4 linked regions of the Tamandua tetradactyla genome follow. The protein of the gene in region 1 purifies or fractionates together with the protein of each later gene. This does not show direct contact. Links are inferred from orthologs where the notes say so. Each region holds a gene or a part of one and is shown on either strand. Other genes may lie near its edges.

What was found.
Region 2: the proteins of NFKB1 (region 1) and NFKBIB purify together in Homo sapiens (affinity purification with mass spectrometry; 7 studies listed by BioGRID and IntAct, counting the BioPlex papers as one, with this or other methods). This does not show direct contact. The link is inferred for Tamandua tetradactyla from reciprocal best matches to the Homo sapiens genes NFKB1 and NFKBIB.
Region 3: the proteins of NFKB1 (region 1) and NFKBIE purify together in Homo sapiens (affinity purification with mass spectrometry; 4 studies listed by BioGRID and IntAct, with this or other methods). This does not show direct contact. The link is inferred for Tamandua tetradactyla from reciprocal best matches to the Homo sapiens genes NFKB1 and NFKBIE.
Region 4: the proteins of NFKB1 (region 1) and SP1 purify together in Homo sapiens (affinity purification with western blotting, with the first as the bait; 3 studies listed by BioGRID). This does not show direct contact. The link is inferred for Tamandua tetradactyla from reciprocal best matches to the Homo sapiens genes NFKB1 and SP1.

Annotation. Positions count from the first base shown.
Region 1 is NC_135350.1:21,621,247-21,628,259, reverse strand, and holds the start of NFKB1 (nuclear factor NF-kappa-B p105 subunit), read left to right. Parts: upstream 1-4,009; 5' UTR 4,010-4,026; intron 4,027-4,352; exon of another isoform or gene 4,353-4,504; intron 4,505-7,013.
Region 2 is NC_135342.1:25,108,050-25,115,388, forward strand, and holds the start of NFKBIB (NF-kappa-B inhibitor beta), read right to left. Parts: upstream 3,017-7,339; 5' UTR 2,896-3,016; coding exon 2,717-2,895; intron 1-2,716. Other genes in the region: SIRT2 (NAD-dependent protein deacetylase sirtuin-2), read left to right, coding at 3,131-3,364, 7,318-7,339. UniProt on the Homo sapiens protein: Inhibits NF-kappa-B by complexing with and trapping it in the cytoplasm.
Region 3 is NC_135331.1:101,876,879-101,884,040, reverse strand, and holds the start of NFKBIE (NF-kappa-B inhibitor epsilon), read left to right. Parts: upstream 1-4,139; 5' UTR 4,140-4,154; coding exon 4,155-4,522; intron 4,523-6,793; coding exon 6,794-6,896; intron 6,897-7,162. UniProt on the Homo sapiens protein: Sequesters NF-kappa-B transcription factor complexes in the cytoplasm, thereby inhibiting their activity. Sequestered complexes include NFKB1-RELA (p50-p65) and NFKB1-REL (p50-c-Rel) complexes.
Region 4 is NC_135333.1:114,748,251-114,755,464, forward strand, and holds the start of SP1 (transcription factor Sp1), read left to right. Parts: upstream 1-4,210; 5' UTR 4,211-4,317; coding exon 4,318-4,324; exon of another isoform or gene 4,325-4,349; intron 4,350-4,581; exon of another isoform or gene 4,582-4,706; intron 4,707-5,373; coding exon 5,374-5,522; intron 5,523-5,831; coding exon 5,832-7,214. UniProt on the Homo sapiens protein: Transcription factor that can activate or repress transcription in response to physiological and pathological stimuli.

The sequences.
Region 1 (7,013 bases):
GTCTGGCTTGGTGCCATGTACAGAGTAAGAAAACTTAGTAAAAATTCATTTTCTTTTCTTAACCCATTCCCACTACTGTGAGAGTTTCTTCCCAGGGCAACTCTTACTTCACCAACCTCTAGGAGTTCTATTTTTGCTTCTAATGCTTTTCTCCAGGGAAAATCATTAAAAATGTAATAGCTGTGAAGTCTGGGAAATAGAAGCAAGACAAACCTGGCAAACAGACAATCAGGAATAACGTGATTCTCTCTGAGCAAGGTTTCAGAGTAACAACATATGATTATCCTAGTTGCCACAAGGCCAGATCAGTGTTACATTTTAAAGGCTTTCCTTCTTATCCCTAACTGGACTCTTTCTCTGTGCTCCTACTCAGAGAGATGCTCACTATATGAGTATCAATGTTTTAAATCACAAATTAGAGTAGTTTAGAAAAGAGACCCTTCATTAATTTTTTAAGTGGCCTCATGAGTTATACTCGTTAGGACTTGAAAATACACTGATTCAAAGCCTTACTATTTATCTTTTCCTATAAAATTCTATCTTATCTGTGTGTAACAATTTTATTAGCAACACACATCAAAATATTAGCATGGATTCTTGGGTAAAGCCTCCCTTATTTTTGCACCTTATCAAGAAGATGAACAAATAGTGAATCACACATGGTTTGGAATGACTCAAAGTCCTAAAGAATAGACTTGGTAATTGTTATATATAATTTCCCAGGAAAACTTGCACAAGTTTGTGAATTTGGTGGATTTTAAAAAATCCACCATTCAAAGGGGAAATTTCAAGCTAGAAGGGATACATAGAGATAACACAATCCAATGTTTTTACACAACATGAGACAACGTAAAGAATTCAATCAAGTATATTTATATATTTTTTAAATTTAAGGATTATTTTGAAATATTCATAGCTATAGTCAAAGAAATTTAAATATATAATGAGAATTTTAAAGATTTGGTTTCGATGTCTTCCTTCTTTTACTTTTAATTTAAAATGTTATAGTGCTAAACATGAGTCATGTAAGCTACAAATTGCATTCAGCCACATTTTGTTACTTGCTATTGTTCTGGCTCAGCTTCGCACACATTTATAATATGCTTAAAAAGAGATAATACTAACATCTATATACCTAGTAGTTTAGAAAGGGAAGAAAATGTTTAGAGCAGAAGAAGTATTTTAAAAAGCAAGTGGGAAAATGAAAATGAAATACTGCAACACATCCATTCTTGTGACAATATGAAATGCAGGTAAAACTTCTTATGTCAGTTAAATATTAAAAATAGAGAGATAAAAAGTACTTCTATGTTTGTGTATAACAATAAGGAAATTTAAAAGATATTTTTCATGGACTTTAGGAAACAAATTAGATGTTCATAATATGCTTTTTCCCAACTCTCCATTAAAATGTCCATGAACATAGATCTTTTTAAAAATGGCAATAGTTGCAGAAGATCTTATGACAAATTAGGAATGGGATTTTCTCAAAAACCAGTTGCAATGCAGAAAGATAGGGTATATAACAAATTCTCCCACCCTCTGAACCAAAACCAGTCCATCCCAAAGGAAATGGGAATATATTTCAACACACCTTCTACTTCATTCTTCAATTAACTTCACCTATCTTGACTATGTGATAGGTAACAGAATATATGGACATTTCCCAAATCCATAAAAAGAGAGTTGTCTAATGCCCTCCACTTCCAAATCAGAAGTGAGAAAGTGGACATAAAACACACATAATTAAGGCAAAATGTATTCGTATATTCGATGTATAATTTCTGTAAAAAGACTCTTTCCATTTTCAAATTATCAGTGTATTTATCTCTTTTACTCTTTTCAGACACATGATTTTCATCTTAGTTTTCTCTAAATAACTATTTGTCTGGATTACAAATGAAATTGCAAAGGGAAAGACTAGGGTATTATCGGGTTTTTTTCACCCTAAAATAGGATTTTGCAACAAGGCAACAAAAAGCCTTGCATGTCAGTTCAGACATGTATATAATCTATATATATAATATAAATCCTGGGGATTTATTATAAGGAATTGGCGCACATAACTGCAGGCATACTTCAAACTGGAAACTCTGATAAAGGTGATACTGGAGTCTTTAGTCCAAATTCACCAGGGGAGGCTGAAATTGAGTCCAAATTCCTCTTCTAATCTCTGATATCTTGGCTTTTAAGACCTCCAACTGATCGTATGAGAAGACTCCCCACTTTGCTGAGAGCAATTGCCTTTGTTGATCTTGGAGGCAATCAAAGGATTATATCCACAAAGCCGATCTACAAAATAACCTTCACAGAAGCAAAAAGGACAGTGCTTGACCAGACCACTGGATACCATATCCTAGGCAAGTTCCCACATGAAATCAACCATCACAAAGTATTAGAGTTGAAGAAGGAAAGTTCTGCTTTCTTAAGAATGCTTGACCACATCACACAAATGTTAATAAGAAGTGTAGTACATTTGAATTTTAGTCACCAACTCAAATGCATCAGAAATACAATCCAGTTTATTTCCCTACAAATCAACTTTAAAAAATCTATTACAAGTCCTCATTCCATCAGAGGTCAGTCAATTTGGGGCTCTCTTCTCCCCTTTCACTGGGGTGGCTTATGTGGGGCCAAGGTGAGACACAGGACATCTGCTTCTCATTCGGTCAGCCACATAGGCACTGACCGGCTGAGACATTCATCGTTCAGACTGGTCCTCACCCCTTGTATGTCATCAACCCAGACAAGGTGAGACTGAGATGTACTAGTTCCTGTGGCAATGGCCCCTTCATCTCTGGCAGCTCCCAGCACTTCTCCCACGCCATGCTTAAAGAGAACAAGGACCACTGGGCTGCCTCACACCATCCTAAATCATTGGCACTCTGGGCACAGTGTTTACCTCTTTAGGCAGATGCCTTTTCCCAGAGCTCTGATTCTGAGACAAAGCATAAAGTTCTCTAAAGGGAACTCCTGTGATGACGTCTCCTCCATTTGTCCTCATTCTCTTTCCTATCTGAGAAATATTTTTCTATTGTCTGAGTAGAAGATACCTATTCTTCCAAACTATTAGAGTTCAAACAGTTTATCTATACTTCACATAGCCCTAAAGACTCTGATCTTTACAAAGGCAAATTACATACAATTACAAAATAATAATTCACAATAAGTTATAAATTTATTTATAATAAAATAATTTAATTAATGCTCATATAGGACAGAATTTTAACAAGAACATTTAGTCAAAATAAGAATGATACTTGTGGGCGGTGCAAAAGTGGCTCCGTGGCAAGAACTCTTGCCTGCTGAGCTAGAGACCAGGGTTCCATTCCCAGAGCCTGCCCATGAAACAAACAAACAAAAAAGTTATGGTTAAAATTAGTGCATGCAATTCACTGGAACAAGGTAAAAATACATACAATATTCTAGACAAGTCTTCTATATGAAGTTAGATAAAGCGTGGGGGTAAAGCAGCAAGTGAAAATATTAAACTTCTGAGTAAACGGGAGACTGCAAGGATATAAAAGGGAGGCATACCCAATGCTAATCACTGCACTGCACTACTAGTTAATTGAACAGTTTTAAAGAGTATATCATTCAATATATGTTAAAACTAGAGAATTTTTAAATATCCACCTTTAAAATATCTCTATTTCTGAAACATCCTATTTTGGGATTCATGCAACAGTATATGAAACGTGAAGTTATCATTTAGATAAAAACATTTTCAAGGGAAAAAAGATCTGTAACATCTATCACCATCAGCCTTAAATGCATTTCCACCATGATCTATCAATTTAAAATATGGAACGCTTCACAAATTTGCGTGTCATCCTTGCGCAGGGGCCATGCTGATCTACTCTGTATTGTTCCCCGAAATAAATTAACACGGTCTTTTTCCCCTCTCGGCCTAGCCCAGGCTTGTCAGAGCCTAAAATCCACCCCAGGCATCCGCCGGCGTCTCTGCTTTGTGTACTGAGTTTGATTTGCCATCAAGTCCCAGTTTGGGAGACGCCCTCGCACCAGGTACGTCTGGTGTGTCTCAGGATTTTCAGTTTGCTTTTGGGGGCGGGAGGGAAGGGGCGCGCGTGTCCCGCCTAGAAGGCGGCTGGGTGTGCTGGAGGCAAGTGCTGCCGGGCCAGAGCGCAGTCGGAGGGCTCCGAGATCGGATTACGGGACTGCAGGACCAGGGGCGCAAGAGTGGGCCCGGGGCTCGCAGGGCTGGGTGCGTCCTCCGGTGCCGGGGTCGCTGGCACTCCCTCCTCCACCGTCAGGATCTGGCAGAAGATGAGAGTGAGCGCAGGAAGAGGAGTGTTTTGGCAGGGTTCCAACCCTGGGCTGGCAGCTGGCGCCGAACCACCGGAGGGCAGAGGCGCCTGCGGTTGCGCTGCCTGTATCCACGAGGGGCGCTGGGGCCCGTGACGGGGCGAGCGCGGGCTCTGCGCGAGGGTCAGAGGAAAAGATTTCCGCTCCCGAGTGCTGCCCGGGTGGTCCCAGGCGTCCGGTAAGGCTGATGGTCATGGTGGGGAGGGAGCTCCGGAAGCGACACGTGGAGCGCTGAGCGGAGGAGTCGGCGAAGTCTGTATGCTATTTATTTTTAAAGGAAGTACAGTCCATTTCACTTCCAAAGATTATACACTATTAACTCACCATTATATTATTCTCATTCTTTGAAACCTTATTTATTCTTTTCTGCTTGAACTATTTTGTTGGAATCTTTTCACTGTAAATAATAGAAACAGAATTCAAACTAGCATAGCACATTAAAAGAACTAGTTTGTTAATATAACTGGATTTCTAAAATGTAACTGCTTCAGGAAAGGCTGGATCTAGGGAATCAAATGATGCCATTGGTACTGTCTTACTTTCTCCATCTCTTAGTTTATTTGCTTCAATTTTCATTTCTCAGGCCTGGAATTCCAGGTTTATATGGTTCTTACATGCACTCACAGAAGTAGACTCCCCTTCTCCCAGGGTGCGTGCCTATCAGGACTTGATAGTTTACTAAATTACCTACCCCAGGAACTAAGGCTCTGGGGTTAGAAGGAGACGCCACTTTGATTGGTCAGCTCAGGTCATACGCTATCTTAGGTCCGATGCCACAGAAGCAGATCTTGAGCCAAGGATTCAGTCGAGAGTGATTTATTAAGGACATGTTCTCAGAAGAAATCATTAAGGATATGGGGAAATCAGGATAGAGAAGGAAAGTAGCCAAGCTGTTTCCAAAGCCTCATACGGAATCTGTGGAGTGCAAATTACACTTCCGAGTTTGTCCCTCTGCCAGAGAAGCTGAGGTAGGGAGAGATTACAGGACCGTAAAACTCCCAGTCGCTTTGAGCTGTCCTCAAAGTCAAGCTATCCAGTGCCCAAGGGTCAGCGTCTGAAGGGCTTAGGTACAAACCGTCAGTGGCAGAGCACACAAAAGGTGCATATGGGTTCATAGAACTGGTAAAAAAGGGTTCCGAATAAATCTGAGTGGGACACCAACAGTGCTAACTGTGCCCAGTTCTGTGGTGAACGAACAACCTCCTGATTGGACACCACCAAAACATTCTCATGGCTTGGGGAAGGGGCAGTTCCCAGATGAAAGGATGTGGGGCAAAAAATAGTAACTGGCCACTCTGTCTTTCAGAGCCTGGGATCAGGCTGTTAAAGATTCCTGTGAGGATAGCATTTTTCTACATTTATCATGTTCTCCTAATAATTTTGGCATAATATGTTGATCCTACTTTATTCAATGTATAAAGGTTGTCACAACTTTTTTGTTGTGAGTAACATTCATGACAAAAAGGACTTTTTTTAATTATTATTATTATTTTTTGACGTGAGCAGGTGCCGGGAATCAAACCCGGGTCCTCTGGCATGGCAGGCAAGCAGTCTTGCCTGCTGAGCCACCGTGGCCTGCCCAGGACCTTCTTTTTAACTATTTATTGTTTTGACCCTTATATCTATTCTGTCAAATCAATTCTTCTATCTCTTCTTTTAAAATTTGACTTACAAATTTTTATTTATTCTCTTTTAAACTTTGCGTTCTGTTGTTTTGTTTCAGGTTTATGTCTTGTCTTGAAAGCAGCACACAGACTGCTTTTTAAACCTTATTTGGTAAAATTTTATCATTTTAATTGGGGAGTAAAACTAATTTATATTTATTATCACAACCAGTGTTTGGTCTTGTACTATCTTGGGTTATGCTTTCTGGTTTTGTTTTGTTTTTTTTAATGACTTTTATGCCGCTTCCTCTGTTTCTGTCATTTGTTGTTTTGGTTGATTTTATCTTCTGTAGATTTGGAAGATTGCAAGGCTGTTTTAAGTTCTCTTGGTACCCTTAAAGGTTTAGAAATCATTCTTTTCTGTTTTTCATTTTCACATAATACTAAGAAATATTTCCCCATGTTTTTACTTTCTCTCAATTCACATTCTTCTCACTAATTCGTTGTCTTTATTCATATTATCTGAACACTTATGCCCATGTTATAGTTATTTGGTTTTATATATAATTTTACAGTATTCTTTTTTAAAAACAATTTCTGACATTTGTGTTCTTTTTTATAATCAAAACTTGAAACAATTATTAGACCTACTTCTATGTTTGACTTTGTTCAATGTATACTATAATTGCTTTCATAGCATAACTTTTCCATGCTTTAGTTTATTTTATTAACTTCACAGTCAGCTGAAATACTCTTCAAAATAATTTTTTACTAAAAAGCATGGTTAATGATGAATTTTCTGAGCCCTTATCTGTAAAAAAAAATGTCTTCCTGTTACTTTGAGATGAACAAAAACACGATTGGATATAGAATTCTTGAGTCAGTTTTTCCCTTTCTTTATATAAAAGATTCTGTTTTAAGCTGACATTTAGTAATGTGAAGGAAGATTTTCAAGTCTGCCTGATTTTTGTTTCATAGTAACATGTTTTATTTCGAAAAGATTATTTTAGAATTATTTTTTCTTGTCCTTGAAATTTAAAGCCTTTGCCAAAATACGCTTTTATTTCCATTAATTTTATTTAT
Region 2 (7,339 bases), on another chromosome or scaffold:
ATGGGCAGGCACAGGGAATCAAACCTGGGTCTCCGGCATGGCAGGCGAGAACTCTGCCTGCTAAGCCACCGTGGCCTGCCCAGCAAACTTTCTGTAACGGTCCAGATAGCAAATATTTGAGGCTCTCTGAACCACATGGTCTCTATCCTGACTATTCAACTCTGCTGTTGTGACACAAAGGCAGCTATAAATAAAATGTAAATCAGTGAGCATGGCTATGTTCCAATAAAACTTTATTGATAGACACTGAAATTTGAATTTCATATCATTTTCACTCGTCACAAAATATCTGAATATTTTTTAGCCATTTAAAAATGTGAAAAACAGGCAGGCCATGCTGGTGCAGTGGCAGAGTTCTTGCCTGCCATGCTGAAACCCAGGTCCGATTCCCGGTGCTTGCCCATGCCAAAAAAACAAAACAGAAAACAACAACAAAAAATGTAAAAACCATTCTTAGCTTACAGCCATACAGGAGGCTGGCTGGATTTTGCTTACGGGTCATAGTATGGCATCCCCTGCCTTAAAGCAACCACTAAAATAACAACAACAACAACAAAAAGTTATAGCTAAAAAGCCAACAAAGGAAATAAAGTTGAGTTACAAAATACTCAGGTATTCCAGAAGAAAGCAGAAAAAAGAGGGAACAGGAAACATAGAACCGGTGGGACGAAACAGAAAGATGATCAATTTGAACATAACCATATCAACAGTTTACATTAAATTTAAAGTGTTTAAACACCTTAATTAAAAGGCAGAATTGTCAGATTGAATAAAAAAGCAAAACCCAACTATATGTTGCCTACAAGAAATGCCCTTTAAATATAAAGACACAAATAAGTTAAAAATAAAATGATGAAAAAGATATTCCATGCTACACTAGTCAAAAGAAAGTTGAAATAAATATTTAATATCAAAGTAGATTTCAAAGCAGAGACTATTACAAGGCTAAAGAAGGTAATTTTATAATGGTAAAGGGGTCAATTAGACAAGAAGACTTAACAATCTAAATCTTTGTTCCCCTAATAACAGAACTTCAAAATACACAAAGCAAAAACTGAGAAAACTAAAAGAAGAAATAGACAAAGGCCCAATTATACTTGGGGATTCAATATTCCTCTCTCTATAACTGGTAGACTGAGTGGACAGAAAACTAGCAAGGATTAGTCGACTTCAACAACCCTATAAACCAATTTGGCCTAACTGACATTTAGAGAACACTTCACCCAGTAACAACACAATGTACACATTCTTCTCAAGTGCATACACAACAATTACCAAGCTAGACCATATTCTGGGCCATTCTGAGTCTCAACAAATTTTAAAGGATTTAATTCATGCTAAATATATTCTCTGCCTACATGGAATTAAAAAAACTCAAGAGAAAGATAGCTGGAAAATCTCCCAAATGTTTGGAAACGAAATGACATACTTTTAAATAATCCATGGGTGAAAGAGGATATCAAGAGAAACTAGAAAGAATATTGAATAAAAATGAGAAAGATAGCTGGAAAATCTCCCAAATGTTTGGAAACGAAATGGCATACTTTTAAATAATCCATGGGTGAAAGAGGATATCAAGAGAAACTAGAAAGAATATTGAATAAAAATGAGAACACAACATATCAGAATTTGTGAGATCTTGCTAAAGCAATACATAGGAGGAAATATATAGTGTTATATGCCCATAATAGCAAAGAAGAAAAGTCTCAAATCAATGGCCTCAGCTTATATTTTAAGAAACTAGAAAAAGAGCTGATTAAATCCAAAGTAAGCCAATAGAATAATAATAATGAGAACAGAAATCAACAAAAGAGCATTAAAACAATAGAGAAAATTAATGAAACCAAGAGCTGATTCTTTGATAAGATCAATATTTATGAAGTGCCCACCAAGTATCAGGCATTGTTTGGGTCACTGGGGAAGCAATAAATGTAACAGACAAAAATCCCTAGGTACACTCCCTTGTGGTTCCTTCTGCTGGAATGCTCTTCTTCCCTGCTATTTGTTTCATTTCTCTCTCTCTCTCTCTCTCTCTTTCTTTTTCTCTCTCTGCCTCTTACTTCCTGTCTTTCTTTCTCTCCTTTCTGTCTTTCCTTCTGTCCATTTGTCTACCCCTACTAGAATGTATGTTCCACAAGGTCATATATCTGTCTATTGTCTTCATTGTTTTAACTCCAGCGCCTAAAACAAACAGTTCAATGAATAATTGTTGAAGGGATGAATCCGTGTTCTCAGGGACCCTATATTCTCTCTTTAAATGTAAGATTTGAAATTAGTGCTCAGAAGGCAGGATCTTAGAAACAGAGGCCAAATATTACTTTCAGAAATCAAAGTATAAGGCTCATAAGTCACCAGCTAAGGATCAAAGATCATCTTGGAGGTTGGAGATCAGGAGGAGCTGGAGTCAGAGTTCTAACAAACGTCTCAGGACTGGAGTCAAAACGTTCAAATCCGGTTTTCAGATCAATGGGAAGGGATGTGGATTCCAGGAGCTGAGAATCAGATTCAAGAAAGGAGAGTCAGAAATGTGTTAGAATCAAAGTTGAGTAAGAGATTGATGTTATCAAAGGTTAGGACTTGGGGGTTAGAGGTCAGGAAGTCAAGGCTTAGAGGTCAGATTTAGTGGTAAGAGGTTAGGGAGCCGGGATCAGACACCATAGGAGAATCAGGTTAAACTGATCTTTGGGCTAGACTTGGGAGTCTAAGATTCACTCACGTGTCCCCATCTTCAGTGACGTAGCCGAAGACGAGGGGAGCCCACGACAGCCCCGGGCCCAACTCCGGACCCAACCCTGGTCCTCCGGGGGCTGCTGCGTCCGGGCCCAGTGAGCCCAGACCACTGTCACACCACTCATCCGCGTCTGCAGCTTTCCCCAGGCACGCGACCCCGGCCATAGCCCCGCAGCCTCCGGAGTCCCCCGCGGCACCCAGCCAGGCTACTGCTGGGCTCTGCCTGGATCCTAACCCTTCCGCCCTGCGGGGAATTCCCCAACACTCCCCCTACTTTGCCCAATCAGAGTGGGTCAAAGCTCTCTCTCCCCGCCCCATTCCGCTCCAAGACCAATCAGAACGTCCTATTGTACTACAGCTTTCGACCCATTCCCACATTTTCCGGGCGCCCTTTACCAACATGGCTGCCGACGCCAGGCCCTCTGGAACTTGTAGTCCGGCCCTCTCATCTCCCTTATCCGAAGAGAAACGCTCGCGGCGTTGTGCTAATCACTCGTATGCGGTGGTCGTGGCTTCTGGGAGTTGTAGTCCTTTGCCTCCTCACTGCCCCTCCCGTTTCCGGTGCCGTCACGGGGCAGAGAGGTCGGTGACAGCCCCGAGGGCCCCGGTCCCGCGCCCATGGCCGAGCCGGACCGTGAGTCAGGGGCCCGGGTGGGAGGATCGGGCCGCGTCGGGGCCTGACAGCAGGCTGCAGGCCCCGGGGCCCGAGAGCAGGCGCGGTGGGGCAGGAGATCGGGCAGCGTGGGGGCAGTGGGATTTGAGGGGCCGTTGCTAAGTGATCCGTGGTGTTTGATTAATGAGTGTCTGGGTCGCGAGAGTTTTAAGGGCCCATTTGCCTAGTGCCCCAAATTGCTAATAATCGCATGTTTCTCGCACTTCGGTTGCTAAAGACCCTCGTTACTAAGGACGTGGGTTGCCGCCGTCCTGGTTGCTAAGGGTACCTGGTTGTAGGATGCCAGGGGATCCCCTGGTGTCCCCTTCTATCTCTTGCCTCAAGTACCTGTGCCTCTCCTTAACTTGCCACCAACCACCCATCCCTATCCCGGCACCTCCTCTTCCAAACCCGGCTCCCAGCAGGGTATCCCTTCCTATCTCCTCTCCTCCTTTCTAAACTTCCCTCTGCCCCTACACACACTATTATGCTTTCCTAACTACTCCTGAGACTTCCTCCAAACCCTTTATCCCTTCCTTTCTCCTCTCTCTCCTCCAAACCCTTCCCCTCTCCAGCTTCTCCTTAAGATCTGCTTTTCCCTTCCCTACCTCTATTCGGTTTTTACCACTCCCCTCACTAGTATAATTAGGTCTTCCTAGCCCCCACTCCCACTTTGAACCCTTTCATTCCACCTTAACCATTCCCTCCACTGTAACCACGTCTGCTCCCCCTCCTCCCCCAGCCTCTGACCCTCTGGAGACCCAGACAGGGAAGGTGCAGGAGGCTCAGGTGAGATGGGGGGAAAGGGTGGACTGGAGGGAAGGAGAGAGATGGATTTGTTCCCACTATCCCACACTAGGCTCTCAGCTCACTGCCCCAATCCCTCGTCCCACCCCAAGGTGCAGCGTCCTGGGGGATGGTAGATTGTGGGGCCTGCCAAAGAAGGGTATACTGCCTCAGTCCCAGGCCTGCCCTTCCAAGCTTACCTCTTTTCTGTCCCCTCCCCACCAATCCTTCTGAACCTCATTCGTGCTGGGCCCAGAAGAGACAAGCATGGGATTTGGTCCCTGATAGAAACCAACCCTCCAGGGTGACTGTGGAGGTAGCTCAGGGTGCTGTGGGGGCCAGAATATACTTTGTGGGGTCACAGAAGAAACCACCCAGGCCCCTCCTTGGAGAAATCCACAGACGGATCTAGGTAAGACTGAGTTATCGACACAATATAATAAGTGAGGAGTGACTTGGAATTTTCCTGGACAAGATGAGAAATGGTGTTCCAGGCAGAGGGAAAGCCTGGAGGCAGAAAAGTATTGGGTAGCTTGATGGCTGGGAATGGTAAAAAAAAAAAAAAAATTTTTTTTATTGGGTACTTACTCTGTCGCAGATATTCTGCTTAGTGTTTTGGGTACATCGTCTTATTTAATCTTCCCAACATCCCTGTGGGGGGAAGGCCTGTCATTGCCATTTTGAGGGAGAGTTGTTAAAGCGACTTGTCCCCTATCCCTTGGCTAGAGGAATAGGGACGCCAAACCTAAGACACCCGGCCCCCTGCCTCATAGGTGCTAAGCAGGAGGTGGTCAGGGCAGCCTTCCAGAAGCTTATGGGCGTCAGCCAGCACCTCCACCTCCTCTGCAGGCAGGGCTGCCCCACGAGCTGGACAGGGCCTGCCATCCTCCCACAGAGCCTCATTGTCTACAGCCTGAAGGAGCCCAGCCTGCTACCAATGCTTTTCAGATGTAGGTCGGTGCAGAGGCCGTGTCACAGTTCCTCACGAAGGCCCAACAGAGGGATAGTGAGGGTAGAAGAGCTTCCTGTCAAGCCAGGGTTTCTCCATCGCCTAGCTCCAGAGTGTGGCTACTGTCACTTGTGGCTCAGAGAAAAAGGTTTACTATTAAGAAGGGACCCTCAGTGCCAGAGAGAGAGACACAAGGATGTAAATTGCAGTGTTGTCTAGAATAGGGCAAAACTGGACATGGCCCAAAGGGCTGTCAGTGGATGGGTTAAGTGAAGGCTGGCACACCCACACAATGCAATCCTATATGGCTGCTTAACCCAACGAGGTGGGTCTGCAGGAGTTAATTCTGTGAAAAACTGCAGAGTGCAGCAGCCTGCCTGGGTGGGACCCATTTCTGTGAAGATAATTAGGTTTTTGTTTTTTTGTTTTGTTTTTAACCACCAATACATTCATTTGAGGGGGAAAGGGGTCAAGTCTTATGAATTTTTTTAACGGGGTAAGACTAGAGACACTGATCGGCAGAACTTCTGGATATTCACAACTGCCCAGGTAACCAGTCCTGCACAAGTAGGGTCGTCATTGAACAGGTGGGCATTAGTTGAGGGGGACATGTTCTGAGCAATTAGGAGATTTCTCATTCCAAAGAAGGTGCTATCCTCATATCAGAAAAGTAGAGATAATGAGGTTTTATTTACAGAGAAAAAATCTGGAGCAATTCATATTAGAAGCTTAATAGTTATCTTGGTGGACAATGGGTGAGAAGCAGTACCCCAAGTTGTGCATTTTCTAATGTTCAATGTTTTTGCCAACCTTGTGTAATCTTAAAAAACAATAAAAATGTAAAAATATGGTTGGACGGGGGTGGGGGTGTCCTATTAAAAAGGCTCAGAACCAGGGTAGTGAGTTGGGGGGAGGGGAGAATGGTCCGATAGGTTTTTAACAGGAGAGTGAGGTAGTCAGACCACAACCCATCCCTGAGCTAATAGACCGCAGGCAACCCGTCCAATGGTGGATGGTTCTAGAGCTTCTGCTAGGCCAGACCCTGTTCCAGGAGCTGGGGATTCAGGGATGAACACAGCAGACAAGTCCCTGCTCTCCTGGAGCTAACATCGTGGGTACTCCATAGCTGTTCATGGTTGGATGCTTAGACTGGAGAAACAACGAAGGGCCTGTGAAGGAGAGGGTAGATGGGAGGCAGAGAATCAGCCCCAGAGCCCAGGAAGGAGGCCAGGGCAGGGCCTGGATGGGAAAGGACAGGGGGAGCAGCTGGAGGGTATTCAGCCTGAGTGGACATCTGCAGGGCTGATGAGCTGTGATGGGAAAGCAAGGGCATGGGAGGCATTCAGGATGAGGCTCAGGATTCTAGTGGGGAGCCTGGGGGCCGGTGAGGCTGCCCTGAGAAGGGGCTCGAAAGGAGGAACAGACTTGGGGGAAACACGGAGGCTAGTTTGGGACACATGGGAGTGATGGCCCTGGGGGTCACCCAGAGACAGGCGTCCAGGAGGCCACAGGGCACCCCCGGATCTGAAGACAAAGAGGTGGGCGTCCTCAGTGTCTAAGCTTAGGCCATGGGTGTGGGTGAGAGCGGTGGTCTGGGGATGGGGGTGGGGTGGGCAGGGGAAAAGAAAGCAAAGAGGGCCCAGGATGGAGTCTCAAAGATCAGCTATTTGGGAGCTGAGGGGAGGGGTCAATAAAGGAGAGGGAAGGGTCAGAAGTGGAGGCTATCTAGGGCTTCAAGGAGGAGGGTGACAGGGCCAGCAGGGTGAGGACAGGCCTGTGACTTTGGTGAGGTTGACTTGAAGGCCAGACATAGGACAGAGGCAAGGACCGGGGCAGGTGATGACCACAAAGCATTTCCCAAGCAGTTAACCCCCAGGATGCTGGTCTAAGCCCCTCACCCATGTCAGCTCATACCCTCTTTTTGGCCACACTGAGGCGGGCTCCATTTCAGAGACAAGACACACGGAGACCCAGAAACGTGACGCCACTGGCCCACAGTTATACACTAGGGAGCTACAGGGTCAGGTTTCCCACCCAGAGCCTGCATGCTGACCCCAGCACTGTCCTTGCATCACCCCTCACCTCCTGAGGACCACCTCCCCAGCCAGAGCTTCTCCCCAAACCTGGATGTCACCCCTACCCTCCTGTCTCCTTCCCTGACCCTCCTCTTGGCCTGGCCACCTCATCCCACCCCTTCCAGGAGTCAGGTTCAGACACTGAAG
Region 3 (7,162 bases), on another chromosome or scaffold:
ATTGTAAATGATGGACCACAGCTAATAGTACAATTATAAAAATGTTTGTTCATGAGCTGTAATGAAGTACCACACTAATGCAAAGTATTAATATTAGGGTAGTATATGGGAACTCTGTATTTTATGCATGATTTTCCTGTAAACCTACAACTTCTCTTAAAAAAAACAAAGTCCATAGGGATATTTGGGGGTAGGAAGTTAGTGTCAGGCAAAGCGTGTATATCTGATCTTTGGGGGGAGGGCCAATCACAGTGATCTGTCTGGGGTCATCGGATCCCTCATCTGGGGAAGAAGAGCCACTGCTCCCACCCCAGCCCCCTCCCCCCCCATGCCCCTGTCCTGCCTCCTTTTTTCTACTCTTCCCTTTCTAGGTGGAGGTGAGGGTGGCTTTCTGACTGCCTTGGCTTCAGAACTATCCAGCTTGACCCTCTCAAGATCAGTGAGTCCATCCCCCCTGCCTGAACAGAGAAGGGGTCGTGGTCCTGAAGAGGCGGGGTTCGTGTTCACCCCCATGGCAGAGGATGAATCTCACTCAACGACTCATTGCAATATCTCCCACCCATACTTTTTGGTAAGTTCTGCCTTACAGCTAACTCCAACTCCTCCTGTTCTGCTTCAGCTCATTCCACCTAGTTCACTCCTCACTGCAGAGGGCAGAGGTTCTAACCCTGGCCTTTCTCAGCCCACACCCCATTTAGTTGTTATAATCCTCCTCCTGCCCCCACTCCCACTGCCTTCTCATTTCCATTTCAAGGGGCTTCATAAGAGGGACAGCCTAACTCCTTCTGGCTAACCCGGTGCTCCCAAGAGACAAAAGATCACCCACTCTTCTACATTCACACACACTGAAGGTTCAAGGAAAAGAGGGGGAGGAAGGAGGGTGCTGTGGAAGAAGCCAGCTGACCAGCTGGTTACCATGGCAACTGGACTTTTTTCTTGAAGATGAGCCTGACTGGGGTGGGCAGAGGTGGGGATTTGGGGCATGACAAAGGGAACCGGGGAACACCAGAAGAGAGAAGAGGACTAGAGGGGCCTGGGCTCAGAGAAGAACAAGGATGAGGAGGTGAAATCAGAGTCCTGATCAAAATCAAAGTCCCTAGGCCATCCTTCCAGGTGACACTGCCTTGCTCCCTCTGCCCATTGCTACACTGTCCTCAGGAGGGTTTCCTGTCAAGAGTGCAGGCACTAGTGCTGGGGACAGTAGGTGACTCAATGCTGACCTCGTGTGGCCAGGAAAGGGGTTGTCATATGCCTGTCACATTTCATGGCTCAGGCCAGACACCTGGTGGGGTTCCTTAAATGTAGCCTCTGGGTGAAAGAGAGAAGCGGTCACTCTACACTCCTGAGTTCTTGTGTCCTTGCAGAGGGCTTAGATGTCTCCATTCCACTGATAAAGCAAAGAAGGTTTCACTGAAAAAAAATTTTTTAAGCTTTGCACTAGAAACAGGGAAAACTGGCTCTGCACTTTCTATTTGACCTTTGGCAAGTCAACTTGCCTCTCTGAGCCTCAGCTTCCTAACTGTATAATGGGGATAAGAATTTCAGACTTTGAACGGAGGCAGTCCAGGTAACATATATGTGTATATATAGATATAAAACATAAAATTTCTCATTTTAACCACATTCGAGTACACAATTCATTGGCATTAATTACATTTACGATGTTGTGTTACCAGCACCACTATCCATTACCACAACTTTTCCATCACCCCTACTACTGTACTCTTGAGGATGAGTATCAGCCTTTGAGGATGGGAGAGGAACATATCAGGAGACTGAGAACGTTTGAAGTCACACTTGCCCAAAGGGAAGGGGGTGACTCAGTTCCCTTGGGCTTTCCCACCCCAACATGTTATGATAAAAAGCTCTCCCTGGTGGCTGCTCAGTGCTTCATGCTCCACAAATGCTCCACAGAAGCCCTCCACTTTGGGTCTCCATGGGGATGGAGAACAGTGGGTCATCTTCTCCCCATAGCCCTCTGTGGTAGTTAGATTCAGGTGTCAACTTGGCTAGGTGAAGGTGCCTAGTTCTGTTGCTGTGGACATGAGCCAATGGCATGTGAACCTCATCTGTTGCTGATTACAATCTGCAGTCGGCTAGGAGGCGTGCCTGCTGCAATGAATGATGTTTGATTTAATTGGTTGGTGCTTAACTGAGAGAGCTCAATGTGGCACAGCCCAAACAACTCAGTATACCTCATCTCAGCACTCACAGCTAAACCCAGGCCTCTGGAGATGCAGAAAGGAATCACCCCGGGGAAAGTTGTTGGAACCCCAAAGGCCTGGAGAGAAGGTCAGCAGAGATTACCCTGTGCTTTCCCACGTAAGAAAGAACCTCAGTTGAAAGTTAGCTGCCTTTCCTCTGAAGAACTATACATTAACTAAATAAATTCCCTTTTATTGAAAGCCAATCTATCTCTGCTGTGTTGCATTCCGGCAGCTTGCAAACTAGAATACCCTCCCCCACTCTCCTCTCTTCATTTACCCCTCAGAGACTGGGTCTTTCTCCCTAGTCCTTCTCCCTTCCCACTCCCAGTGTGAATACACCTTCCCTGCTCCTTACCCTACTGCGTGGGCCTCCTCTGTGTGCCCTCACCACACTCTGTTCTTATCTTGTCTTAGCCCCAGAGCTCTGTGTGTATTTGCCAAGCAGCTTTTTAAAGATTGGCACCATGGGATGTTTGCTGCTGGTGGTGGTTGGTTATTAGTGTTACTGTGATACTTGGTTATACCTCCAGCAAAGGGAACAATGTTAGACATATAGAAGAAACTCATAGATGTTCGTCTCAAATGGATGAATGGGTGGATCAATGAAATGAGGTTGCACAGGGAAAAGCAGTGGGGAAACTGGTTTGTAGCTGTCTACACCCACCCCCCAATGTTGGAGATGGAAAAGGTAGATGTTCCCTTGGGATGACTCTCTAAGAGCATCGCTGGGCCCTAGGTTGCTGGTGTGTGGGGTGGGGGTGGAGGGAGAAGGGAAGAAAGGATAAACCATGGGGCACTGATTTGGGACTTACCATGTCCTGTCCTGCCTCCATTTCCTATTCTTCCCCTTCTAGGCAAGGTGAGGGTGGTTGGGGGTTCTCCTAAGGCCTCCCCTGGGCCCAGGGATGCAGACACAGGGAAAGAGGAAAGCTGTGCTGGGACTGTGGCTGTGGCAAGGACGTCAGCAGAATATATGTCTGCAGCTTCCTTTCCTGGTCCCACCACAAGGAACTGAACTTCCCTAACCATTCAGAGTAACTAGATGCTGCAACCACCCCAGGCCAGTGTTTCACCCCTGTGAAAAAGAAACTCATGGCCACACTCGGTTTTTTAGACACCATTCTACCCGAGAAAACCTGCTTTCCCAAAACGCATCCTCATGCCCAATTCTATGTGATCTGTGTGATTGGCACAGGAGACCCTTAGCCAAGACCCAAGGGGAGAAGTGCTCCTTTCAAGACTTTTTGGTGGTGGTGATGGTGTTTCCCCACCCAAACGCCTGGGCACTCATGCGGAAAGGTGAGAAAGCAAGAGAAATTGAGTGAAATAGGAAGCAATGATTGCCCGTCCCGCCACCCACCTGTCCCCCCCCCAAGACGTCCAGCTCATGCGGGCAATTAATAGATATTCCTTTAGAAACGAACACACAAAGAGGTGAATGAAATGAGTAAAGTGAGGGAACAATGAATATATGGAATTAGTGAATGGAACGAAGAAGGAAAAGAAAAAGAGTGAGTGAAAGAATGAATGGGCAAATTAACCAACCAACGGGTGAGTCAGGAACGGGTAACCCCAGACTCGAGCCAACTCAGAGGGCGGGGCGAGGGGGATTCCGTTGGGGCGGGGCCTCCGTCCGGAAGCGCCCGTCAGGGGTGGGGCCACCGGGAGCGCTGCACCCTCTCGCGGGGGTCCGAGGGGCGGAGCGCGAGAGGGAACCGAGCGGGGAAGCCCAGCTGCTCCAAGTATCCGCTGCGGTGGATTCGATCAGCGCTAGGATCCTCGTCCTCGCTTCTCGCCGACCCGCTGGGCTCCCTCAGTCCAGGTAGGAGGCCTCTCGGGGCCTGGCGCCCGCCCCGCGAGGCGAGCCCGCAACCCGGAAAGGCGGCGCGGCGGCGCCGGGAGCTGGATCCTGCTGGGTCCGGGCCCCCGCGGGCGGGCGCCGCGAGCATGTCCGAGGCGCGGAAGGGGCCAGACGAGGCGGACGAGAGCCAGTGCGACTCGGGCATCGAGTCTCTGCGTTCTCTCCGCTCGCTGCCCGAGCCCGCCCCCGCCGCGGGTCCCGGGTCCTCGGAAGGCGGCGGCCGCCAGCCCTGGACCCAGCCCCCGAGGACCGCCGAGGAGCCACAGGAGAAAGAAGACGCGGATGGGGAGCGGGCTGACTCCACCTATGGCTCCTCCTCGCTCACCGAACCCCTACCCTTGCTGGGGGGTCCCGAGGCCGAGAACCCGGCCACAGGCTTGCCGCTTCTCCCCGCGGGGGCGCTGAGCCCTCAGCAGCTGGAAGCCCTCACCTACATCTCCGAGGACGGAGACACGTGAGTACGGGGGGCGAGGCTGAGGTGGGACCCCTTTTCCTCCGGGAGCCCCAGCAAGCTGGACACCATGCTCTGAGGCTCGCGCTAACTACAAACTTAACTCTCAGTCCACTTTTGGGCTCTCGCTGAGCCCAGACTAGAGGGCCTGTCATCATTCCTCTACCTTCCCTTTCAGGGGTGCCCAGAGCCCGCAGGGCTCTTATGCAGGAGGCTAGTACCCCAGCCAGCAACCTACCAAATAACCTACCCTGAGGAAGAGAAAATTCCCCTGACCAGTCCAGTTGTTTTGTTTTGTTTTTTTTCTTGATGGATGGGGGCAGGCATCCTTGTTTGCTCAATATCTGGGATGCCCCACTCCTGCCAGCTACAGGTTGCCATTGGGGACTGGGAGGCTGGGAGAAGTGCTGGGCTGCAGAGCTGAGCTGTCTCTGAGGAGGAGAGCCAGACTGGGGCACCCTTTCTGCAGCAGACAGGCTGCTGGCTGCCCCAGCTTACTTCCTCTGCTGAGAAAGGGGAAGTGAGGGCTCGAGTCAGCCTCCTTCACCCACTCTACCTCCTGAGCCCCCAATCCTCCTCACTGTCCTGTCTGACCTCCTCACTTCACGTTTCCTCCCCTAGGCCCAGGTGGAGCTTGATGGGGACTGGGCCAGGTAGAATCATATGTGTGAGGTCTAGCCTGCTGAGGATTTACCCTTCAGAAAGTAGAAGACACTGACAGGATAAGGGGTGGCTGAGGTTTGGGAGTTAGAAACAAAGTTGGGGGTGGGGTGGGTAGGGGGAGCTGGGTTCCCAGATCAGGGCCGCTGGGATGAAGGGGAGGCAGGGATGTCTGCCCTGACCTGCTTTTTTGGAGGTGCAAGGGGCCTAATCCTGGGTAGCCTTTGGCAATGATGGCCTTTGGACCCGGTGCTTGGGAAAGTAGTGACTCCCGGTCTTTTTGCACTCTGTGCCTGGGTCACCAGCACTCAGGCCCAGAACTCCAAGATTTTGGAGGTGCTATGTAGGAGCACCTCCTATGGCTGGCCTTTGAGTCAGGGAGTGAGGGGGATTTCTGACCCTGGCCTCCCCTCTTTGCCTCTCAGCCCCAGCTTTTACCATCTCTAGTTAGAGTCAGGTGTTTGGATTCAGTGTGAATTGTAGAGCAGTGGGAGGCAGGACTTCCCAGGGGGTCCCCAGAGGGGAGAGGGCACTTTCCTCTCCCTGAGGTGCCTGGGGAGGAGCCACTTTCCTCCTTCCGAGGTATAGAAGTGGAAGAGGAAGTGGGAGGAGGGGAGAGTGCGGGAGAGAGGGAGGTGGCTCCAGGAATGTGACCCAGAGAGCAGGCCCTGGCCGAGGGGATTTCCAGAGTGGTTCCTCCCCTCCCCGTCACTCTCTCCTGGGTCTCCTGGGCCTCGCCTGCTGCCAAAGCCAGCCCCCTCCCTCCTGAGCAGCCCCTTCCCCAGCCCAGACAGGCCTTTTAGCCAAGCTGCCCCTTTCACTAATGCCCCAAGGCAGCTGTCCCACCCAGACCCTCGAGCTCCGGCTTTCATTTTCCTCACCTGATGTGGGGGAAACCCCATGGCTGGAACTTCCCCTCTCAGCTGCCCACCTCACCCCCAGGTTAAAGTTCTTGGCCCCCAGCACACACACATTTTCTACACTGCCCAGACCTCCCCTCAGAGATATTTGCAGGAGTTCAGAGCCCCTAGTCGAGCCCCACCTGGTCTGTCCTATCAGAGGAGTAGCCCTCTTGAACTTCTGTCTGAGGGCCGTATGATAGGATGCTTCACTCTCTCCTTGCTCCTCCTCCAAGCTTTGTTTTCTCTCCCTTGGAATGTGTAACATTGCATTGCTGGGGTGAGAGTGACCCCCTACCTCACCCACTTCTGTCCTCCGTTTTGGGGTGGGGGTAGGTGGGGAGCTCAACTTTGGAAACCCCCTCTGGGCTACCCCATCAGCTTTCAGTTTGGCTTTGAGCTACAGTTGATCTAGCTGGGCCGTTGAGGCAGAGAGGATGGGGTGTGGGCAGGGGACAGGAAGGCCCTTGTCCTGTTAGCACCCTGCCCACACTACCAGCCTGCAAGGTCCTCTTGAAGGCCAGACATGGCAACATGGAGCTCCCACTACAGCATCCTGACTTATCATCCCAACTCTCACTTCCTAGTCCAAACTCTCACTTTCTGTGCCAATCTTTTGGGTGGCTAATTAGTGGTTGTGTGTTCCTTCTAACCCTAGGATCCCAGCCTATCTTTTCTGGCCTGGGCCCTGACCTCAAGTCCCCCCTCCCCCCAGGCTGATCCACCTGGCAGTGATCCATGAAGCCCCAGCCGTGCTGCTCTGTTGCCTGGCTTTGCTGCCCCAGGAAGTCGTGGACATTCAGAACAACCTTTACCAGGTGGGCAGAGAGAGTGGGCTGTGCCCAAATACCCTATCTCCCCAGGTACCATCCCTAGCAGCCATTCAAGATTCTGTAGTGTGTTCAATCAGGAAACAGACACCAGACACTGGCCTAGAAGCCGAGGACAAAGAAACAAGTAAGACACAGCCCACAAGGTACTCGTAGACTGGAGTAGAGAACTCATGTAAACACCTAATTACATAGCTTAGTTGCAAGCTTTGTGATAGAGACGCATACCAGCTGCTGTGGGATCCAGTATCTGT
Region 4 (7,214 bases), on another chromosome or scaffold:
ATTTAATTAGAATGTCAGAATTCTCACCTGGCTTGCTGGAGATACGGATTTGATTCCCGGTGCCTGTCCATGCAAAAAAAAAAAAAAACCCTACAAAGATATTTAATTAAAGTTATGGGTTTACAGAACAATCATGCATAAAATTCAGGATTCCACATACCATCTTAGTATTAACGCCTTGCACTGGTGTACATTTACTACAATTGATGAAGACATTTTATAATTGTACTATTTTTATAATTGTACTATTAATTATTGTCCATGTTTAACTTAGGGTTCACTAATTGCGTTGTGCAGTTCATCTGTGTATTTTAATTTGTAAAATACTCCTAGTTATAAGATAGCTAAATGGGTAACTGACCAAAGCTGAAGAGTGGCTTCAAAATCAGGAAGAATGATTTAACCTGCTGTGTAAGACAATCAAATGAAGGCTGAGAATCAATTCTTAGCACTGTGATCATCTGGAAATCTTTTCAGGATGGTGGGGACTAGGTTTCACCTTTCACTAAGTGTTTGTGTCAACTACATGCTAGATAGAGAGTATACAAAATGAAAAGCTATCATCCCTACTCTCAAATTACCTACTCTATTTGAGGAAGACTAGGGTCTTAACAGATAACTCTCATGGAGGTATGTAAAAACAAAACAAAAATGCATAATGGACAAATGTTCATACCAGGGGAGGTAGGAAAGAGCTCACAGGAATCCTTCTTATCAAAGTTAAGAATAACAATTTGTTTGACAGCCCAGAAGGTCTGGACTTTGGAGACAACCCCCCCCCAAAAAAAAAAAACCCTATGGTTTTGGGTGAAACTTCAACAAATACTAAGTACCATGAACAGTAGTGGATGATGAGCCTAAATAATGAATAAGTGCAGTACAGACCATACTGCATACAGGAATGCCACCATTTTTCCCATGTGAGGCTTACTACACAGCCAGGCACAGTCTGTTCATAAGAGTGGTTCTGAAGTAAAACAATCCTCAAATGATCCACATTGCTTCAAAAAAACTTTTTTTTAAATTTTCCACATTGCTTTTTAAAAACAGGAGTAACTTCAATGATGTCACAGATGGTTGCATAGACTGACACTGATGGGTGAAGGATTTGAGAAGTCTTGAAATAAACGTATTCATTCAATTGGGGGGGGGGTTGTGGGGACTAAATCTAAAGAAAATTCACAGGAGAATAGATCATAGTTCATTAGCTCTCAGGTTCTCTCAGTAAGGAAGGATATGACCAGGACAAGCCTCACTGGCTAGGCACTGAATTCTGTGTTGTCCTAGAAGGAACAAAGGGAAAGGATTGTAAAAAGGAAGGTGGCTATTGTATTTCTGGATCAAAATCTAGGCCTTTTCCTCAGAACCTGGGATAAAATTAGAGCCTACTTCTCATTTCAGGCATAGACCAGCATAGAACCACGGAAAAAAACAGACTTTGAAGCTGAACAGAACAGTCACAATTAACTAAAGGATCTGAGCCTTAGTATTCTCATCTGTAAAAAAGGATGATAATCTCTTCAATCGGTGAAAGGATTAAGCTCGACAATATAAATGTTAGTTTCTTTCCCCCGCCCTAGACAGCTTAGGTGTGGCCCTTTGCTGAATATGCCAAACAGCTGTTTAGAATCTCCAGAGCATGGTTTACAAGATTGAGTAATGCTGGTTTTTCCCTCCAGGAAGTTTCTTCCTTCCAGTTTCTTCCCTTACTATTTACCAAACTCTGGTTTAGGAACTAATTACTTGAAAAAGCCACTTAAAAATTCATGTTCTCAAACCTTTCTCGGCTCCCGTGCGTTATCGTGGGCACCAGGCACTGCCTTGACGGGAAGAAGCACTCCGGCGAGTTCGCGGAGCTGTATGTGCCGCGGCAACGCTCCGCCAGCAGCTTCACCATTGGCACCAAGGACCACACTCCCGTCCAGATCAATGGGACCGAGCTGCACAAGGTCACAGGCAGGTTCAGCAGCCAGTTTAAAACTTACAGTCTGCGAGGAAATTCGCAGGATGAGGAAGTCAGATGACACCATTCCTGGACTGGCCAAGGCTGAAGGCATCACTTTAGAGAACTTCCTATTGAACAGTCATGGATGTGGAATATTTGTAATACAAAGTAACCACCTCCCCACCCCCACCCCACACTCCTCTCCCAATCATATTCTGAAGACCCATTCTACCCTCTAACCCACATTTACTAGGTCTAGGGTGGGGTCTAGGAACCTGATTAAGAAATACCCCATAGGATTCTGATATAGACTAGTCTTTGGAAACTTTAATCCAGGGAAAGATGCAAGGAATTGTACGTAATGTGATGAGTTTTATAATAAAGGTGTACAAAGAAGATTGAGCTGTGCAGGCAGTATGGGCAGAAATTTTCTTTTCAGGAGGTAGAAGGTAGCAATAAAAGTTTTTAAAACAGTTTTTTAATTAAGCCCATTTATATAAACAGTAATACAAGGAACTGTGAATAAATTTCTGTGGATTACTCTGGGTTGGAATCTGGCACCTACAAACTTATTTTTGTGACCTTGGCCAAGTTACCCCAATTTTTTCCCCTGTAAAATACATAATAATGTCCCAAATACTTAAGTTCTATCTTCCTTATAAGAATTACTTAAGAAATGCAAAGTCCTAATGGACCTAGGTATCTAATACAGCAGGCACTCCACAATCATTTTCTCTCTTCCAGCCCCTGTCCAAATCAGCAGCGGCCTCACTTCCTACCTTCAAAGGGCTTAACATCTTTTAGGAGAATCCAGACTTTAAAACATGACAGCATATAATGAAGTGCTGTAATGCAGATAATAAAGTGACAACATACAAGATACAAGTACTAAAAGAATAACTTCATGTCATTTACAAGCCACCCAGGCCTTCTCCACCAAAACTAGGGTAAAGGGGATGCAAAATGGAGGACAGAATTCAGGTGACTTGTGCAAAATCTTCTTTCATCACTGTGGTTATAAAAAGCAGTAACTCGGCTATCTTGCTTTATGTTTCGGCGATATTTACAATTAAGGGCGGGGGTGCGGGTATCGGAGAAGCAGTTCAGGACTTGGAGTACGGAAGATTCCCTAACGCGCTTTAGCCTGAAAGACAAGCTCTTGAAAACTAAACCGGTCATTAAGAAACTAGTGCCTTTGTCGGATAATTTAATGAAATGGCGTTCGCTGGACTCTCTTGCAAAATTGGTCATTTAAGTGTTAACTACTTTTGCAAGCGCTGACGCCAAATTTCGTGATGCCTGCACTCAGAGGGCTTACACCCACACTCTAAGGCATTCGTCCGCCAGGGGAGGAATGAGACGTCAGCGTTGCCTTTTAAAGGCTGTTAAATAAGGACTCAAACGAGCCAGAGTGGATGGGTGGAAATTCGCGCCAAAAGCGACTTCTTAGTCCTGGGCCTGACACCTGTGGAGTTGGAAAGCTCGGTTTAAGCATACTACCTAATAACTAAAGACGTCTCCTGGGAGGGCCAATATGGCGACGGTCTTCTCCTGGCACAGCCCAGTCCCCTCCCACCATGGGCGGCTCTAAGTAACGCCCATTAGTCAATATGAGGGAGGTGTCTGGATTACCTAGCCCCCTCGTTGGGCCGAATGACTGAGCGAGACGCCAATTCTCCCTTGGCCACTCCAAGTTCCCGCCCTCAGAGCTCATTAGGCGGGTAATTGGCTTTTCGTCCACGTCAATATGAGTCCTAACCTGTCTCTTTTCAGATTTTACCCAATCATAACTTTCCTGACTGCCCGCCTGATATCTGATTGGTTTTAATCTGCTTCATCCTATCCCATTCCTGCCTACTTCTTACTTCTCCTCCCCAGGACTTTGCCCAGGCACGTCCAAGATTCTGGTTGGTCGTTGGTCTGTCACTCCTATCAAAGTTCTCCCTATACCTACCTCTCAGGGAGCCCGCCTGGCCGTTGACTGGTTTCCCTGAAAGCCCGTCATGTCTAGCTCCTGCCCACTTTCACTTCCTGCATTTTTCATTGGTTTTTAAAATTTTGAAGGCGGTCTTTTTGGGCGGACACCAGGTACGCAACTCTGCATTACACGCCCTAGAGCGCAAGCGAGCCTTGCCATTGGATAATCTGCCCGCCTTTCTTCTGCAAGTCCCTCCTTTCCCCCTCCCTCATTGGGCGGGGCAGCAGCGAAGGGGCGGAGCCTAGGCCGGGCTTGTGGCGCGCTGCTCCCTCCTCCTTAACCCCCCCTCCCTGTCCGGTCTAGGTTCGCTTGCCTCGTCAGCGTCCGCGTTTTTCCTGGCCCCCCCCAACCCCCCCGGACAGGACCCCCTTGAGCTCGTCCCTCAGCTGCCACCATGAGCGGTAAGGATGAGTCCACTCCGAGCTTAGGGGTGGGAGGGGAGTAAGGGGGCGCGCGCAAGGACCGACCGGGCGGTCCCCGCCGTGAGGGGGGGCGGGCGGGAGGCGGCGGCGGCGGCCTTGGTCCCGCCCGGGGCGGAGGGAAGGGAGGGAGAAGGGGCAGTGGCGGGGCCTCCGAGGAGGAGGGGGATGGGCCGCCCGCCCCGGGGGAGGGGGCAGCGTGGCCTCGCCCGCCCCCTGCCCGCCCCGGCCACGGGGGACGGGCCTTACCCCCCACTACTCGTCCGCCTGCCTGAGGCTCCTCCTGTGTGGGGCTGGAGCCGCGGGGGCGGCCCGAGTGCTGCAGGCCCCGCCCGGGCCAACCGCCTCCCTGGTTCGCCCTCTGGTCACCGCCTGCCCCAAGGCCCTCCCTCCCCTTCCCCTACATTTCCCCTCCCCCCACCGGCCCGCCCTTTCCACGCCCCTCACCCCGAAACCGCCCTTTCCCTCTAGGACCCGCCCTCTTCCCGCCCCGAAACCTCCTGATATCTAACCCCAGACCCCTTTTACCGGTTTACTGTATTCGCGGGTTTCCCCATCGCACACATTTTTTACCTTTTCTTTACCGGTTTCTCCTTCTCTTCTCTTGCTACTTTATACATTCGTATTTTTCCTCCATTTTCTTTAACCATAATTTTAGCAAGCTTCCCATCCACCCACATGTTGTTTTTTGCCTTGCCTCTCCTTCTCCTTTTTTTCTCCCGCATACTTTTTCTTATTTTAAAACTTTCAACATGCCCACAGTCCCTCATAGTTCCAATCCCAAAAGCATATTTTGAATGTTTTCAGAGTTTAATTTTGTGCAAAGAAAAATTGAGGCCCAGTTCTGGCACCACTAAGCTTATTCACAGTCTACAGTTTTCTCCCTCAGTCCACTTTCTTTACCTTGGCGTCCTTCACCTTTCTCTTAGTTATTTCTGTTTCATCATAGCCTCCTTTGTCACTTTACCCTTTCTCACTTTACCTTGTTTCTTCCCTTAACTTTAAGTTGTTTGCCTTTTCGTTCTTTTTAGACCAAGATCACTCCATGGATGAAATGACAGCCGTGGTGAAGATTGAAAAAGGAGTTGGTGGCAACAATGGGGGCAGTGGTAATGGTGGTGGTGCCTTTTCTCAGGCTCGCAGCAGCAGCACTGGCAGTAGCAGCAGTGGAGGAGGGCAAGTAAGTGATAGTGGGACACAATGAAAGAAGGTATTGAGGGGATGTAAGTGCTTCTAGATAATTGCCTTACTCTTTGCAGAATAAAATTTAGGAAGAAACAGAACTGTTTTTCAGGTGGGGAAGTAAGCACAGAGAGACGACTACCTTGGAGATCTTCAAAGACAGGAATTTCAGCAATATAGATAGGCTGGCTTTTTGTTTCTGTTTTTGCTCATGTGTCTGCACTATTTTGCTCTATGTTATGTACTTCCCCCTGGGTTGGTAGCTTGTTATCACTAACTCCTTTCCTTTTCTATATTTTCTGGCTAGGAATCCCAGCCATCCCCTTTGGCCCTGTTGGCAGCAACATGCAGCAGAATTGAGTCACCCAATGAGAACAGCAATAACTCCCAGGGGCCAGGCCAGGCTGGGGGCACAGGTGAGCTGGACCTTACAGCCACACAACTCTCACAGGGTGCCAATGGCTGGCAGATCATCTCTTCCTCCTCTGGGGCTACTCCTACCTCAAAGGAACAAAGTGGTAGCAGTACCAGTGGCAGCAACGGCAGTGAGTCTTCCAAGAATCGCACAGTCTCTGGTGGGCAGTATGTTGTGGCTGCTACACCCAATTTACAGAACCAGCAAGTCCTGACAGGACTACCTGGGGTGATGCCCAACATTCAGTATCAAGTAATTCCACAGTTCCAGACTGTTGATGGGCAACAGCTGCAATTTGCTGCCACTGGGGCCCAAGTGCAGCAGGATGGTTCTGGTCAAATACAGATCATACCAGGTGCAAGCCAACAAATCATCACAAATCGAGGAAGTGGAGGCAACATTATTGCTGCTATGCCAAACCTCCTCCAGCAGGCTGTCCCCCTTCAGGGCCTAGCTAATAATGTGCTCTCAGGACAGGCTCAGTATGTGGCCAATGTACCAGTGGCCCTGAATGGGAACATCACCTTGCTACCTGTCAATAGCGTTTCTGCAGCTACCTTGACTCCCAGCTCTCAGGCAGTCACGATCAGCAGCTCTGGGTCCCAAGAGAGCAGCTCACAGCCTGTCACTTCAGGGACTGCCATCAGTTCTGCCAACTTGGTATCATCGCAAGCCAGTTCCAGTTCCTTTTTCACCAATGCCAATAGCTACTCAACAACTACTACCACCAGCAACATGGGAATTATGAACTTTACCACCAGTGGATCAGCAGGGACCAACTCTCAAGGTCAGACACCTCAAAGGATCAGTGGGCTACAGGGATCTGATGCTTTGAACATCCAGCAGAACCAGACATCTGGAGGCTCACTGCAAGCAAGTCAACAGAAAGAGGGGGAGCAAAACCAGCAGACACAGCAACAACAGATTCTTATCCAGCCTCAGCTAGTTCAAGGAGGACAGGCCCTCCAGGCCCTTCAAGCTGCACCATTGTCAGGGCAGACCTTTACAACTCAAGCTATCTCCCAGGAAACCCTCCAGAACCTCCAGCTTCAGGCTGTTCCAAACTCTGGTCCTATCATCATCCGGACACCAACAGTGGGGCCCAACGGACAGGTCAGTTGGCAAACTCTTCAGCTGCAGAACCTCCAAGTTCAGAACCCACAGGCCCAGACAATCACCTTGGCCCCAATGCAGGGTGTTTCCTTGGGACAGACCAGCAGCAGCAACACCACCCTTACACCCATTGCCTCAGCTGCCTCCATCCCTGCCGGCACA